Linked DNA regions of Schizosaccharomyces pombe. The protein of the gene in region 2 purifies or fractionates together with the protein of the main gene of each other region. This does not show direct contact. Each region holds a gene or a part of one and is shown on either strand. Other genes may lie near its edges.

What was found. The genes of interacting proteins can lie anywhere in the genome.
Region 1: the proteins of rmt3 (region 2) and tef103 purify together in Schizosaccharomyces pombe (affinity purification with mass spectrometry, with the first as the bait; one study listed by BioGRID). This does not show direct contact.

What each region holds. Positions count from the first base shown.
Region 1 is NC_003423.3:623,281-630,241, forward strand, and holds tef103 (translation elongation factor EF-1 alpha Ef1a-c), read right to left. Parts: upstream 4,243-6,961; 5' UTR 4,209-4,242; coding exon 2,826-4,208; 3' UTR 2,724-2,825; downstream 1-2,723. Other genes in the region: rpl1601 (60S ribosomal protein uL13), read right to left, coding at 120-672, 719-759; methyltransferase Efm4, read right to left, coding at 1,146-1,821, 1,877-1,917; C1-5,6,7,8-tetrahydrofolate (THF) synthase, trifunctional enzyme Thf1, read left to right, coding at 4,750-4,784, 4,835-4,979, 5,258-6,961. UniProt on the Schizosaccharomyces pombe protein: This protein promotes the GTP-dependent binding of aminoacyl-tRNA to the A-site of ribosomes during protein biosynthesis.
Region 2 is NC_003423.3:1,374,145-1,382,176, reverse strand, and holds rmt3 (ribosomal protein arginine N-methyltransferase Rmt3), read left to right. Parts: upstream 1-3,885; 5' UTR 3,886-3,910; coding exon 3,911-3,953; intron 3,954-4,267; coding exon 4,268-4,363; intron 4,364-4,442; coding exon 4,443-5,836; 3' UTR 5,837-6,288; downstream 6,289-8,032. Other genes in the region: box H/ACA snoRNP assembly protein Shq1, read right to left, coding at 1-53; tac1 (cytochrome C oxidase subunit I translational activator), read left to right, coding at 578-677, 1,034-1,097, 1,162-1,879; SPOM_SPBC8D2.11 (uncharacterized protein), read right to left, coding at 2,217-2,585; new15 (mitochondrial 54S ribosomal protein bL35m ), read right to left, coding at 3,407-3,667; U2 snRNP-associated protein Msl1, read left to right, coding at 6,456-6,683, 6,757-6,864; transcription factor TFIIIC complex subunit Sfc9, read left to right, coding at 7,242-7,349, 7,397-7,493, 7,552-7,639, 7,839-8,032. UniProt on the Schizosaccharomyces pombe protein: Methylates (mono and asymmetric dimethylation) the guanidino nitrogens of arginyl residues in ribosomal protein rps2.

The sequences.
Region 1 (6,961 bases), 750 kb from region 2:
ATGCTACACACACACGAATATATGCTACAAGTTCATCGAGAGTAAAGTGAGACGGTTAAAAACAGTGAATAATTAAAGGGAGACAACTACCTTTCTACCTAATAAATGAAAGGGAGTATTTAGTAGCCGAATTGGGAAAGTTTTTGGTTAACAGGAGAAGCTTCTTTGGCGGAAGCAATCTTCTTCTGCTTGGCGAGCTTAGCTTGGTAGAAAGCGGCACTCTTAACCTTTCTACGCTCTTCTAATTTAGCGACAATATCATTATATTTCCAGCCAACCTCGGAAGAGAGACGACCAACAGTGCAGTACTTGCGACCAGGCTTCAAGCGCAAAACACGAAGGGCAGCGGGGACAACGACACGCTTTTGCTTGTCAAATGGAGGAGGGATACCCTCAACGGCTTGAAGGTGCTCCAAAGCAGCTTGGCCACGAGCGGTCTTGTGGGGAAGCATACCACGTACAGCCTTTTGGAAAATACGAGAGGGTGCGCGGAAATGGAAAGCACCACGACTAGGGTTGTAACGGCATGCCTTGCGCAAATAAGCAAGGTACTTAAGTTTGTTACGGAAAAAGTGACCAGAGATGTTCAATTCCTCGCAACGAACCACTACAACTTTTTGCCCACCCAAAAGCTGCTTAGCAACGACCGATGCCAAACGACCGAGAAGATGGCTATTCATGTTAGTATTACAGCTTTAAATTTATTCTGTTTACATACCCTTTGGCGTCAATAACAACAACTTTTTGAAATTCAGACATATTGGTGGTCTCTGATAATACACATTTAGAAAAGCAGCAAGTTCGGTGTATGTGTGACGGTTGTTCCAACATTAACCCTAACCTAAACAGAAAATGTTTTTTTTTCAAGTCAATAGCATGGTAGAATTAAGAGGTGTAGCTATTATCGTTAAACTGTTTAACAAACACGTTGAATAAGCTGCACAACAATGCGTTCCCACTCGCCCAATATCCTAAAAGGTAGTTTCGAGAAAATGGTAACACTCGCTAACATGAGAGTAAATAAATGAACTAAATAAAACGAAGGTAAATGTGACTCTCATCTACAATATTTACCATAGGCCTGATAGGAATTTTAGTTTAAGCATGAGACGCCAAGTGCCTTATTTCAGTGAACATTAAAAATATTATTTTCGATTAAAAGAGGGATCAATTTGAAAGGCAATCACGGAGGTAGAACTACCGGTACTACCTTGAAACTCAAATACAGGAACAGGAACTGTAGAGTGGACAATAAAACCATTCTTCGTAAACCGCTCCTCTAACTCTTGAATTGTCCAATTGCAACTGGTAATGAGAAAAATGCCATTGGGGGATAGCATACCGCGAACCCTATCAACATAAACACTGTTCAACGGACGACCATCCAAAAGCTCCCCACTTAAAGAGATGGCATCAAACGTACCTTTGTCAAGTATTAAATCCCAATCTTTTGAGCAAAATTTAGAATCTTTAATGATGTCGAGTTGCTGGAATTTGACTTTATCTGAAAACTGACGATGTCTAGCAATGTTTTTAGCCAAAACAATTGCAGCTTCGCTATAATCTACACCTACCAATTGGCAAGGGCTTGGAAGCAGTGTATCTTCTTCTTCAAGCAAACGAAATAATAAATGCCCATTACCAGTACCCAGGTCCAGGACACGAAAAGGCGCCGCTTCCGATACTTCTCTAAATGAGGTGGAAATGTGATCTTCTAACCATTGAACAATTCGTTCTTCAGCCTCTTCACCAAACCAAACTTCCCCTTCGTCATTAAATTCTGTAAAGTTGGATACTTCACGTTCATAGACATTATCCCAGCTAAAAACCTTTAGTAATATGCCCAATAAGAAAACAATAATGTTTAAAAACATACTATTGTTTTGTTCCCAGCTTTGATTCCGGTAATCCACTCATTGTCCTTTTTTTTTATTTTATCTTTCAAGACTTTCCCTACACAGTCTTTTCTATTTCTGTTCCCTATATTTACAAATTTTCAGAAAAGTCTTTGGAAAATGTTGTAATTTCTATTCGATAACAATCAATGTAAAGTTCTATCTTCCCTTCCTAGCTCGAGGTTAAGGGCCGGCACATAGGGTGGGAGAATAATATGTATTATTATTGTAAGGAAAAAATAATCCATTTGTAATCGTATTAAACAAAAATTTTTACCAAAAGTGATTAGTGAACAAATATTAAAAAAATACTCCAGAAATAATTTAATTGTTATATTTCTTGCATATCATAAACACCTATAAACCCATCAATAAATTCTTGTTGACAACAGATTTGTATATCCAGGCCACAATGTGTACTTATCCAACGTCAAAATCCTATTTTCAATAAAATAATGAGCAATGCCATTAAACTTAATCGATTTTAAAACACTCGGTCTAGTTTAACTTGGCTTGAGTTGCTACGCCGTTCGCTATAAAATCAAAAGTTTTGGTTGGAGATGTAGAAAACTTTTCAGTAAAGATGTTACTTTTTTTTTTAGTTTTTGCAAATGAAAGTTAGAATCTTCTTAACATTGTAGCAGGTTGCTTGAGCTTCTTGCATTACTCAAGAACGCCTGCCATCACTCATTCGAGTTTCTAAACATAGCGGCATTACTAGTTGTATAACGTTCAATTGTCAAAGAGAAACTGCTATACTTTAACTAAACAACACCTCGTCGCATTATATACCATACTTACTACACAACTTACAATCTAACATACACTCTAGAAAAATTATATTATCAATGTATTCAATACCCTGTATCACATGTATTAAAAATTAAAACCTAAACAATTATTTTTTCCGTAAGCAAACATTGCCTAAGCTTATTTCTTAGCACCAGCCTTAACAGCGGCCTTGGTAACCTTAGCGGCACCAGGAGCAACCTTCTCGACAGCTTTGATGACACCGACAGCGACGGTTTGACGCATGTCACGGACAGCGAAACGACCAAGAGGAGCGTAGTCAGTGAAAGCTTCAACACACATAGGCTTGGAAGGAACCATCTTAGCAATGCAAGCATCACCAGACTTGACGAACTTGGGGGACTCCTCAATCTTCTTACCGGAACGACGGTCAATCTTCTCAATGAGCTCAGCGAACTTGCAAGCAATGTGAGCAGTGTGGCAATCCAAAACAGGAGAGTAACCAGCAGAGATTTGACCGGGGTGGTTAAGAATGATGACTTGAGCGGTGAAGCTAGCACAACCCATGGGAGGATCATTCTTGGAGTCACCACAGACATTACCACGGCGAATATCCTTGACGGAAACGTTCTTAACGTTGAAACCAACGTTGTCACCGGGAAGACCAGCGTCGAGAGACTCGTGGTGCATCTCAACAGACTTGACTTCGGTAGTGACACCAGCGGGAGCGAAGGTGACAATCATACCGGGCTTGATAACACCAGTCTCGACACGACCGACGGGAACTGTACCAATACCACCGATCTTGTAAACATCTTGAAGGGGAAGACGAAGAGGCTTGTCAGTGGGACGTGCAGGGGGCTCAATGGAGTCAATAGCCTCCAAAAGAGTCTTACCCTTGACGACACCAGCCTTGGTCTCCTTTTGCCAGCCTTGGTACCAGGGCATGTTGGTGGTGGGCTCAATCATGTTATCACCTTGGAAACCGGAGACAGGGACGAAAGGAACGGTCTTGGGGTTGAAACCGACCTTCTTGATGAAGTTAGAGGTCTCCTTAACGATTTCCTCGAAACGAGCTTGGGACCAGCCAGTGGTGTCCATCTTGTTGACGGCAACAATAAGTTGCTTGACACCCAAGGTGTAAGCAAGCAAAGCGTGCTCACGGGTTTGACCATCCTTGGAGATACCAGCCTCGAACTCACCAGTACCACCACCAATAATAAGGATAGCACAGTCAGCTTGAGAAGTACCGGTAATCATGTTCTTGATGAAATCACGGTGACCGGGGGCATCAATGACAGTAACATTGTACTTGGGAGTCTCGAACTTCCAAAGGGCAATGTCGATGGTGATACCACGTTCACGCTCGGCCTTGAGCTTGTCCAAAACCCAGGCGTACTTGAAGGAACCCTTACCCAACTCGGTGGCTTCCTTCTCGAATTTTTCAATGGTACGCTTGTCAATACCACCGCACTTGTAAATCAAGTGACCAGTGGTGGTAGACTTACCAGAATCGACGTGACCGATAACAACGACGTTAATATGTCCCTTTTCCTTTCCCATTTTTGTTTAATGTGAGTTCGATGAAACAGACTCTAGGTAGAAGCGAAGGGCGCCAGCGCCTACATATATACTTGCGCAAAAAAAGCAGTCACATAACGTTCGTTACGTCTCGAAAGTTTTTTTCTTTTTTTCCGGCTTAAAATATTGTCGTGAGCCTATCAGCGAACGAATTTTGTTTGCGCAGGAAAGTCATGATGTCATTTAAAATTTTTCTTTGCTTCTTAACCTTTTGTCTTTAGAGTACACTTAGCCGAATTTGCCACCGCAATAAACATTAGCTTAGCGAACGTCGTTCTTGGCGATTTTGATTTATTGGGCGGAAACGATCAACGCTGTATATATGAAATGGATCGTTTTTCGTTAATTTAAAAATATATATCTGGTTTATTAAATGATGAAAAATATTTAGTTGTATCATTGAACCATTTTTGATGGCCGTTATCAGATCGGATTGAGATTGTGGACTGAGATTTTCGCTGATATACCCACCTTAGCTGCTTTTGTTTGTTCTTTGTCCGTCACCACAACGGTAATAGTTTTGATGGCTTTGCTTTTGGAGGGTACTTCTTTGGCCCGGTATGTCTTTTTTATCGTGTATATATAGTTTTGTCTAACAGTTGAATTAGCAAAGTTCGAGAAGAACTTCGGGAGCAGATCTCCTCGATTAAATCTGTTGACCCTTATTTCAACGTTTCTTTAAAAATCATTCAAGTCGGAGGTAGAGAGGACTCAAATGTATATGTGCGCATGAAAACTCGTGCAGCTAATGAGGTATGAGTGAAGGCGGAGAAGGGTCTCCTAAAATGATTGAAATGCGTAGGGACGAGTTATTAAAAGCGCACTGGTTTTAAAAGTTCACCCTAACACTCATGTACAATCTGGCGTTAGTTGGCGCGATGGATGATTTTTTGGTTTTTCGATAATGTTAGAAGGTAGATGATGCTTGGGTGGACTATTTAAATATTTGCAATTCTCTTATTCATTAAATTCATTTTCTTTCTTTTACATCTCCTTCAATTAAATCCATGCATTATTTTCTAACTGTTTAGGCTGGAATCTCCTGTGAGCATGTGAATTTTCCTGAAGATATTACAGAATACGACTTGCTGCTTGCCATCAAAGGCTTCAACGAGGACCCTACTGTCCACGGTATTATTGTACAGTTACCTCTGCCTGCTCACATCAATGAGCAGATTATTACAGAAGCCGTCGCTCCCGAGAAAGACGTTGATGGTTTTTGTGAAACTAATTTGGGAAAATTGACCAAGCGCGAAGGTCAACCCTTGTTTACCGCATGCACCCCAAAAGGTATTATGTGCATTTTAAAACATTACGGGATTAATGTCCAAGGAAAGCATGCTGTTGTCATAGGCCGTAGCAACATTGTTGGTCGTCCAATGTCCATACTTTTGGAAAAGGCAAATGCCACAGTTACTTTATGTCATTCAAAGACGGAATCTATTGCTGATATTGTTAGGACAGCTGATATTGTCGTTGCTGCCATTGGTATTCCTCATTTCGTCAAGGCTGACTGGTTGAAAAAGGGCGTTGTCGCTATTGATGTTGGTATCAACTCTATTCCAGATGCCACCAAGAAGTCTGGTTACCGTCTTACCGGCGATATTGACTTTGAAAATGCCAAGGAGGTCGCCAGCGCAATCACACCTGTCCCTGGTTCTGTTGGTCCTATGACCGTAGCCATGTTGCTGCAAAACGTGGTTGAATCAGCTGTTCGCTTTCGCAAAATGTCTCGCAAGCGTAAACCAACTCTTCTTCCTTTAAAGCTTCAGACCCCTGTTCCTAGTGATATTGAGATTGCGCGTTCACAAACCCCTAAAAATATTGGTGACTTGGCTTCCGAAATTGGTATCGCAAAATCTGAATTAGAATTTTATGGATCCCATAAAGCCAAGGTCAACCTTGAAATTCTTCAACGTCTGGCTCATCGTCGCGACGGCCACTACGTTGTAGTTACTGGTATCACTCCTACTCCATTCGGCGAGGGTAAAAGTACACTTACTGCAGGACTCGTTCAAGCGCTTTCAAACTTGGACAAGCTTGCTATTGCATGTGTTCGTCAACCCTCTCAAGGCCCCACATTTGGAATTAAAGGTGGTGCTGCCGGAGGTGGTTATTCTCAATTCATCCCTATGGAGGAGTTCAATCTTCATTTAACTGGTGACATTCATGCAATTACAGCAGCTACCAACTTGCTTGCTGCTGCCATCGATACCCGTATGTTCCATGAAAACACACAATCCGATGCCGCTTTGTATAAACGTTTGACTTTGGTTAAGGGAAACAAACGAGAGTTTGCACCCGTCATGTTCCGTCGCTTGAAAAAGCTTGGCATTGATAAAACTAATCCTGAAGAATTAACCGAAGAAGAGCAAAGAAAATTTGCTAGGCTGGATATTGAACCTTCAACTATTTCATGGAATCGTACTTTGGATGTTAACGATCGCTTTCTTCGTAAAATTACTATTGGAGAGAATCCTACGGAAAAGGGTTTCACTCGCCAAACCGGTTTTGATCTTTCTGTCGCTAGCGAATGTATGTCTGTCTTGGCCTTGGCTACTGACTTGAAAGATATGCGTGAGCGATTAGGCCGCATGGTTGTTGCCAGCAACAAATCTGGTGAACCTGTTACCGCTGATGATTTAGGAGTTGGTGGTGCCTTGACAGTCTTGCTCAAAGACGCAATTAAACCAACACTTATGCAAACGTTGGAGGGTACTCCTGCTCTTGTTCAT
Region 2 (8,032 bases):
TCTAAATACACAAATTCTTCATCCTGCCTCAATTCAAATTTTGGAGTGATCATTGCAGCTGGATGGTTTTGAATGCATTGCAATTAAAATTTCGGATTGGTCATTATCTTAAGAACTCATTTTCAATTTTTTAAATAGTTTATGAATAAGTTTAGATCACTTAAATTACCGTGAATTTGCAGATTGAGTGACCTATTCTTTAATTAGTTTAGAAACAAAGGACTGTTAGAATCACCATCAATGAAAGATAATGTATTTAATTTGTTCACTAGTTAATGTTTTCAGAACGGGAAGGATTCACGAAATTGTCTTTAGCTGGGAAAGCAATTTGGTCACTTACATGCCCATACTTACAATTTTTAACAACTTAAAGGTTTAAAGTATATGAAGTAGTAAAATATATTATATACGAATTGTTGAATCAATTTATTTCTACTAAAGCAGAAATACTGTTTTCTTTATAGAGATGCTGATTCGAGTGCTAGTATTCCCTACTTCAACTCCCTCTCCTCTCATATCAGTTTTCCTTGTTTTATCCTAATTGTGGTCAGTGGTCACTTCGTAGCATACAAGGATAATGAATGCTTTAAATAAAATACCTTTCACAAGAGCGCTGTATCATTTTTCAAGGTTCCGATCATTCACGACTTCAGGATGGATTATGTCTGGGCATAACAGTAAGTTATTGATTTATAAGCTAGTTATAGTGTTTTTGCTTCTATGAATTTTCAAGATAAAACAAAAGTAAAAAACGAGACCCATTGTAGTAAAGAATGTAGGCTACTCAATGTTGACTATGATTCTTTGCTGAATTACTGGGATCTTTCACATAAGACAGAAGAATTGAAAGTGATAAAATTTGAACTGTATTCATATCCACTTTTATAAAGTGTTCAGTTAATTGCTCGAACATACAATTAAGTGAATGTTCAGGTTTTCTTGCAAACTGGGTTACTGTCAACAACAGTGAATTTATAAGATCCATAGACACTATAATGTTACCAGTTTTATATACGCATATTAACCTTTATAGAGTGGTCAAAAATTAAGCACAAAAAATCGGCGAATGACCAGGCAAGAAGTTTACAAATTGGAAAGTAAGGGCTCGTCTTGTTTCACACTACTATCTAATAACAGTTACTAATATTACTGTGTATCCAGACTTTCACAGGGAATCATTCTAGCAGTTCGACAAGAAGGTGCCAATCCTGAATTGAATATGCGGCTGGCGACACTACTAGAGAGTGCCAAGAAAATATCCATGCCGAAATCTGGTATTGAAAATGCAATTAATCGAGGATTGGGTACGGCTGGAAGTGAAGGTTCGCAAGTTCATTTTATTGAGTATGAAGCAATGCATCCATCAGGAGTCGGTCTTATAGTTGAAGCGGTTACAGACAATCGAGCTCGAGCTGCTTCTTCAATCAAACATATTTTACGAAATCATGGGGCTTCTTTATCGACTGTCAAATTTTTGTTTAGCAAAAAGGGTAAGGTGGAAGTAAATCTTCCTCCAGAAAAACGAGATTCTATGAAATTTGAAGATGTTCTCGACGATGCTATTGAAGCTGGCGCAGAGGACATAGTCAATAGGCCCAAAGAGTACATAGACGAAGAAGATGAAGGTGAATTTTTGATTTTAACCGAGCCCTCTAGTTTAAACCAGGTGGCTCATCATTTTCGATCTAAAAACTATGAAATCAAAGATTCTCGTTTAATCCATATTCCTCTGGAAGAAACGGCTATCGATGTACCTGCAAAAGATTCTGTCAGAGAAGATATTCAAAAATTAATCGACGACTTGTATGAAAACGAGGATGTAATGTTCATTCATTTGAGTATACTGAATTCCCACTTTTTGCCTATTCTTGATGAATAAGGTTAAAAAAAAGAAAATTAAAAAATATGAAACTTTTTTCTCCTTGATGAATCATATAATACTATGAGATTTGATTACTTACAAACTATGAGCTAGTTGCTCTAACGTCTACAAAAACAATGTTGCGATGCAATTAAATTTTTAAATAAATCTATGTGGTTTTTGCTGATCGACTTAAAAAATATGCTCATAAATAAATAGTTCATTATCACCTATTTCATAGACTGGAAAGCATGTAATAATTAAACCTTGTGATAGAAAAGTACAAAAGACAAGTAAAAGTCAAATCTTCAAAATCCATCTTTTCCGGCCTCCATAAAGATTCCAGTCTCATGTTTTATAAGATGTACTCTTGATCCATATCGTCAACAAGAGGATCGTTGGAATCACGCGAAAAAACGGTTGATATACTGGGCGCTAATTGCCTTTGAACAACTTGAGCAGTGGTATTAGTCCTAGGCATGTGAGCACGCTTCCTTTGCCGAAAAGAACCAGCAACCTCGCGCACCAGTACTTCGAAGACTCGATTTACCACTGAGGACTCAGTATCCAAAACTTCGACAAAGTTCTCAAAGCTGAAATTTTCAAGCTGCTCAGGTAATCTTCCATTATAATGTTCAAGCGCTTGATCAATCAGCTTCTTTGTTTTTCTATTGAAATTTGCAACATGGTCGTTTGAACTGGACTCTATTAAAGGGCGTCCCATAACACCAAGATGCTACGCCGACAATTTATTCAAGACCCTCTGAAAATTTCAATACTAATTGAATATGTGATATACGCTGTTTCTAAGGGAGAATCAGGCAGGTCCCACCACCTTGCCTCCAGGCTAAGCAATGATAAATTTCAGTGCACAAATTTGCAATTCGTTACTAACAGGTAACATGTTACCCACACTTGAAGAAAGGGATTGATGCTTACGCTGAAGGATAAAAAGAGGATCCATGAAATTGTGATTTCTATTTGTAGGAATTTCCGTATAGTTCCTTTTAATTTAGGAACAGTTTTTTGATGATCTGTAGTTAAAAATCCGACGGAACTGCGACTTTGACATACTTTCAATGAATTTGAAAATCAATTTATGGAATTCAAAAGGAACGGTAAGCAAGATAAAAGTCAAAACGTAAAAAGGGGAGAAAGATATAAGCTTTGAATTTCTCTTCACCACTATGTGTATTTAAGAGAAAGTGGACAGGAGTCAATAACTCAACGATAAAACCAACTTAAATTTAATCAAATTCATGTGATGGAAAAAGGCTGATTCATAAAAATGAAATGTTTAGTATAACGAGTCATTAGAAGACAACATAGTTAGATCTTAGCATGGATATTTATATAAGGTAGGAAAGAATCCTTAAGGATAGACAATTTTGTCCTACCACAAACGAACCCACCAAGGATAAACTGAAAATTTAAGACCATAAAAAGTATGCTTTGAAAAATTTCAATAATCATAAAGCAGGAAAGTAAATTTTGCCATGTCATGTACATGAAATTAGGGTTAATAAAGAGATCCTTATCATTCTCTCATTTAAAAGGAAGAAGCCTCTTTAACACTCGTTTTTGTATTGTATTTGCTTCTTCCCATTGACGTTGTCTAGCTCTCGTTGAACTAGACGTGTCACGGTTCAAATGTTGAGCACCTGCGTGCTTTCGCTTAAAGCTTTTACCATCTTCTGTAAGAATCCATCTCTTTTTAGCGCCGGAATGGGTTTTCACTGTTCGAATGGTATCCTTTCTGCCAACCAAGACTGTTGCACGCACAACGCGCTGAAATACCACTAACATCACTCCAAAGGCCCAAAAATCTGAAGCAACAAAATTCTCTCAAGGAGTCAAAACCTATGCTTAAGTTGATCAAGTTCTTAAAAAAAAAACACACTTGATCTCAATGAAAGCGCTGGTAGTGCAATCTTAAGAACCTTTGTTCCAATGTTAGTGAAACCTATGGCATGTTACTTTGAAATTTGGACGAGAAAAGTAACAACAATAGAGGATTTTTCTTTAGCAATTGCCAACCGTTTTAAACAAATGGGCTCTCATAGTGATTCAGAGGTTGACTGGGATAATGAAGGTATGAATAATATGCTTGGCTGTTGTACTGGTCTGAAATCAATGTTTTTTACTTCTGGGGGAATTTGTTGCTTGTTTAGTTAATACTGGAATTCCATGCTATCTTTTTGCGATTATTGCTTGACATGAATGGATATTCATCTCTATCAGTCAATGATGAATGATCCGATTTCCTGGATTGAACATTATTATTCAGGATTTGCTCAATTCCCCTGGGACACGGTTTTCGTTTTTTCTGCTGCTACCCTTTCTTTGAAAGACGATGCATCCCAGCTTTCAAATGGAAACAATAAAGTTAATACTAACTCTTAATAGAGGAAGTTTGGGAGGATGAGGTACATGAATTTTGTTGCTTGTTTTGCGATTCTACCTTTACCTGTTTAAAAGACTTATGGAGTCATTGTAAAGAAGGTATGAGTTTTTCTATTTAATTTAAAAATTTTGTATATCTATTAATATTCATACATGGCTAACTTTGGTTCTATTGTAGCACACAACTTTGACTTTTATCAAGTTAAGCAGCAGAATAATTTGGATTTCTATGCTTGCATTAAATTGGTAAATTACATTCGGTCTCAAGTCAAGGAAGGAAAAACACCAGATTTGGACAAACTTTCCGACATTTTACGGTCCGACGAATACATGATTTCTGTACTCCCTGACGACAGTGTACTCTTCTCGCTTGGCGATGAACTCGATTCAGATTTTGAGGACGACAATACTCTCGAAATTGAAGTAGAGAATCCAGCAGATGTTTCTAAAGATGCAGAAATAAAGAAATTAAAGTTACAAAATCAACTTCTTATCTCTCAGCTTGAAGAAATTCGAAAAGATAAAATGAATGAATTGACTAGTCAGACTACAGATCAGCTATCAGTTACCCCAAAGAAAGCAGATAACGATTCTTATTATTTCGAGTCTTACGCTGGAAATGATATTCATTTCCTTATGCTAAACGATTCTGTCCGGACCGAGGGATACCGTGACTTCGTTTATCATAATAAGCATATTTTTGCTGGAAAAACGGTTTTGGATGTAGGATGCGGTACTGGCATTTTATCCATGTTTTGCGCAAAGGCTGGCGCCAAGAAGGTTTATGCTGTGGACAACTCCGATATCATTCAAATGGCTATCTCAAATGCTTTTGAAAATGGTCTTGCTGATCAAATTACTTTTATTCGTGGAAAAATCGAAGATATCAGTTTACCGGTTGGCAAGGTAGATATCATTATTTCGGAATGGATGGGCTATGCTCTAACGTTTGAGAGTATGATTGATTCCGTCCTTGTTGCCAGAGATCGCTTCCTTGCACCTTCTGGAATTATGGCACCGTCCGAGACACGATTGGTACTTACAGCTACCACAAACACTGAATTGTTAGAAGAACCTATTGATTTCTGGAGCGATGTGTATGGTTTCAAAATGAATGGCATGAAGGATGCTTCTTATAAAGGTGTTAGTGTACAAGTCGTTCCTCAAACTTATGTTAACGCCAAGCCTGTTGTTTTTGCAAGGTTTAATATGCATACGTGCAAAGTTCAAGATGTCAGTTTTACTTCCCCCTTCTCTCTAATTATAGACAACGAAGGACCGCTTTGTGCTTTCACTTTATGGTTTGATACGTATTTTACGACTAAGAGAACACAGCCTATTCCAGAAGCTATTGATGAAGCTTGTGGATTTACAACAGGCCCTCAAGGCACTCCTACTCATTGGAAACAATGCGTTTTGTTACTACGTAATCGTCCTTTCCTTCAAAAAGGCACTCGTGTTGAAGGAACTATTTCCTTTTCAAAAAATAAAAAAAACAATCGTGATTTGGACATTTCGGTTCACTGGAATGTAAATGGGAAAGCTGACTCTCAAAGCTACGTGTTGAATTAGGATCAAAGTCTTTACTTAAAAATATAGAATTACTGATTAATGTTACTATGCTGTAGGTTTTTGGATTAGGAATCTTGCTGGGGTTTTAAGGCATTTCCTGTAAAATTATTTCCCCAGAGTGGGAATACGGTGGATCGAAAAAATCATCTAGTCTTAAAATATTCTCTATTTTCTATACTACTAAAAAATAACATTTTTTCAATCTTTTAAATATGGAAATTTGAGTACATAAGGATTAAACTATCAACAACTGCACAATGCTTGGGAAAGATTTTTAACGTGAACTATTATTATCGTTGATTTTTTGTTACGATTTGATTATATTTAAGGGATCTCTAAAAATAATTGTGACTTGAATCATAATTCAGATGACTAGCGTTCAATGGTCGTAGAATTGCAAATAAACATATTTCGTTCCGGAAAATTAAATATGGATATTTATAGCCTTAAAAGATAAATTAAAAATGTAAAAGCTTTAGCATTTTAATGTAATTAAGACGAGCCTTTTCAACAATCCATTCAATAAGTTAACTCATAGCGATTGTTAGCGCGCAGTGTTTGCAGGTAAAAATATAAGGTAAAGAGTTCAGCATTTGCAAAACACCAAACTAGGGCGAAAATGAATCAAAATACACTTTATGTGAATAATTTGAATGATAAAATTAATAAAAATGATTTAAGAACAGCACTATATATGCTATTCTCCACTTATGGGACCGTGGTTGATATTGTCGCGTTGAAAACTCCCAAGATGAGAGGTCAAGCTCATGTTGTATTCTTTGATCCCTCTGCCGCTGCAATTGCGATGAAGGCCTTAAAAAATTTCATATTCTTCGGAAAGGAAATGGTATGCTGTGAAATGAGCTTTCTCATTAATCCCCATAAAAAAACAAAAACGATTGACTAACATCTTTAATAAGAAAATTCAATACGCTCATTCGAAAAGTAAGATTATTGAAAGAATCGTCGCCGAAAATGACAGCAGAGGTCCTTTAAAACGGCTACGTGATGAAGCTGACCTTGAGTAAACTGTACATTTTCTAAAATTCACAATTATCGTTTTATATAGGGTAACTTTTTTCGGGATCCTGTTGGAGTCAAGAGAGTTATAAAGAGTGGTTTTCCTTTTTCTCTCTTTTTGTTCTTCACTGTATATACCTGTTGGTTTTAGTTGTTTCAGGTGTCAGTGTTTGCAGACAGTAAAGCGGACCGATAACACCATCGCATTGTTGCTAAGTTTTATAAGATGAAGCAAAATTCTAGTCCAATATCATCTTGTTTACAGCTATTTTAGTGGATTTTTCATGCAAGTCTTTCTCAACTAGCATTGCGCAAGGCACTGAACTTTAACGCATTTGATGGAATTGTTCACCTGGCTTCAACATCGCTCGTCGTCTTTCTTACAATGGGAAAGGATGTAGCATTGGATTTTCTTCCATCAAGCTTGTATAGCTGTACTTGTTCTTGCGATGGAAAATTGGCTTTTTGCGATTCAGAAAAAGTCCAAATCTTGGTACATATCTCAAATTGACGTGTTCGAGACTAGCTAATTCCCTTCAGGTACCTTCAACTGAAGCCAATACGCCTAAGTTTATGAAGGCGCTAGCCTATTTAGATGATGTGGAAGATGAACTACCAAATTGCCAAATGCTTGCTCGTATGTTCCCAATGCCCTTTGATGCTTATGAGAGTATAAAAGCTAACGTGTTTTACAGCTAATGAGCTTCGTTTAGGAGATCTAACTCCAAGTGTCATAAGCCGCTATGTGGTCTGGTCGCCAACAGGTCTCGCAGACAATTACGAGTATGTTCTTAAAAAGAGAAGACTTGAGTTTGACTTTACTTAACATTCCACTCGGTTTGTGTTTTTGTGCGTAAATATTTCTATTTTTATGAAATTTGTTTCATTTTTTAAAGTTTGTTTATCGTTTCAATGCCTAAAATAAAGTCTTATTCGGTTTTGTTTCTCTATTCTACTTTTTATTTGAACGCTAATCAGCTAGTCCATTGTTAACTGTTTTAACTAATCGTCATCGTGTGTATTTCTTTTCTTCATCTAGTCGCGTTCTCCATCAAAAATGGACTTGCGTGGCACAAATGAGTACTCACTTACCTTCCGATCCTTTGGAACTTTGCCGAATTCATAGCGTTGCATGGTCGCCTTTGGTAAGTCTTCCTTCATCTTCACCTTGGGGCG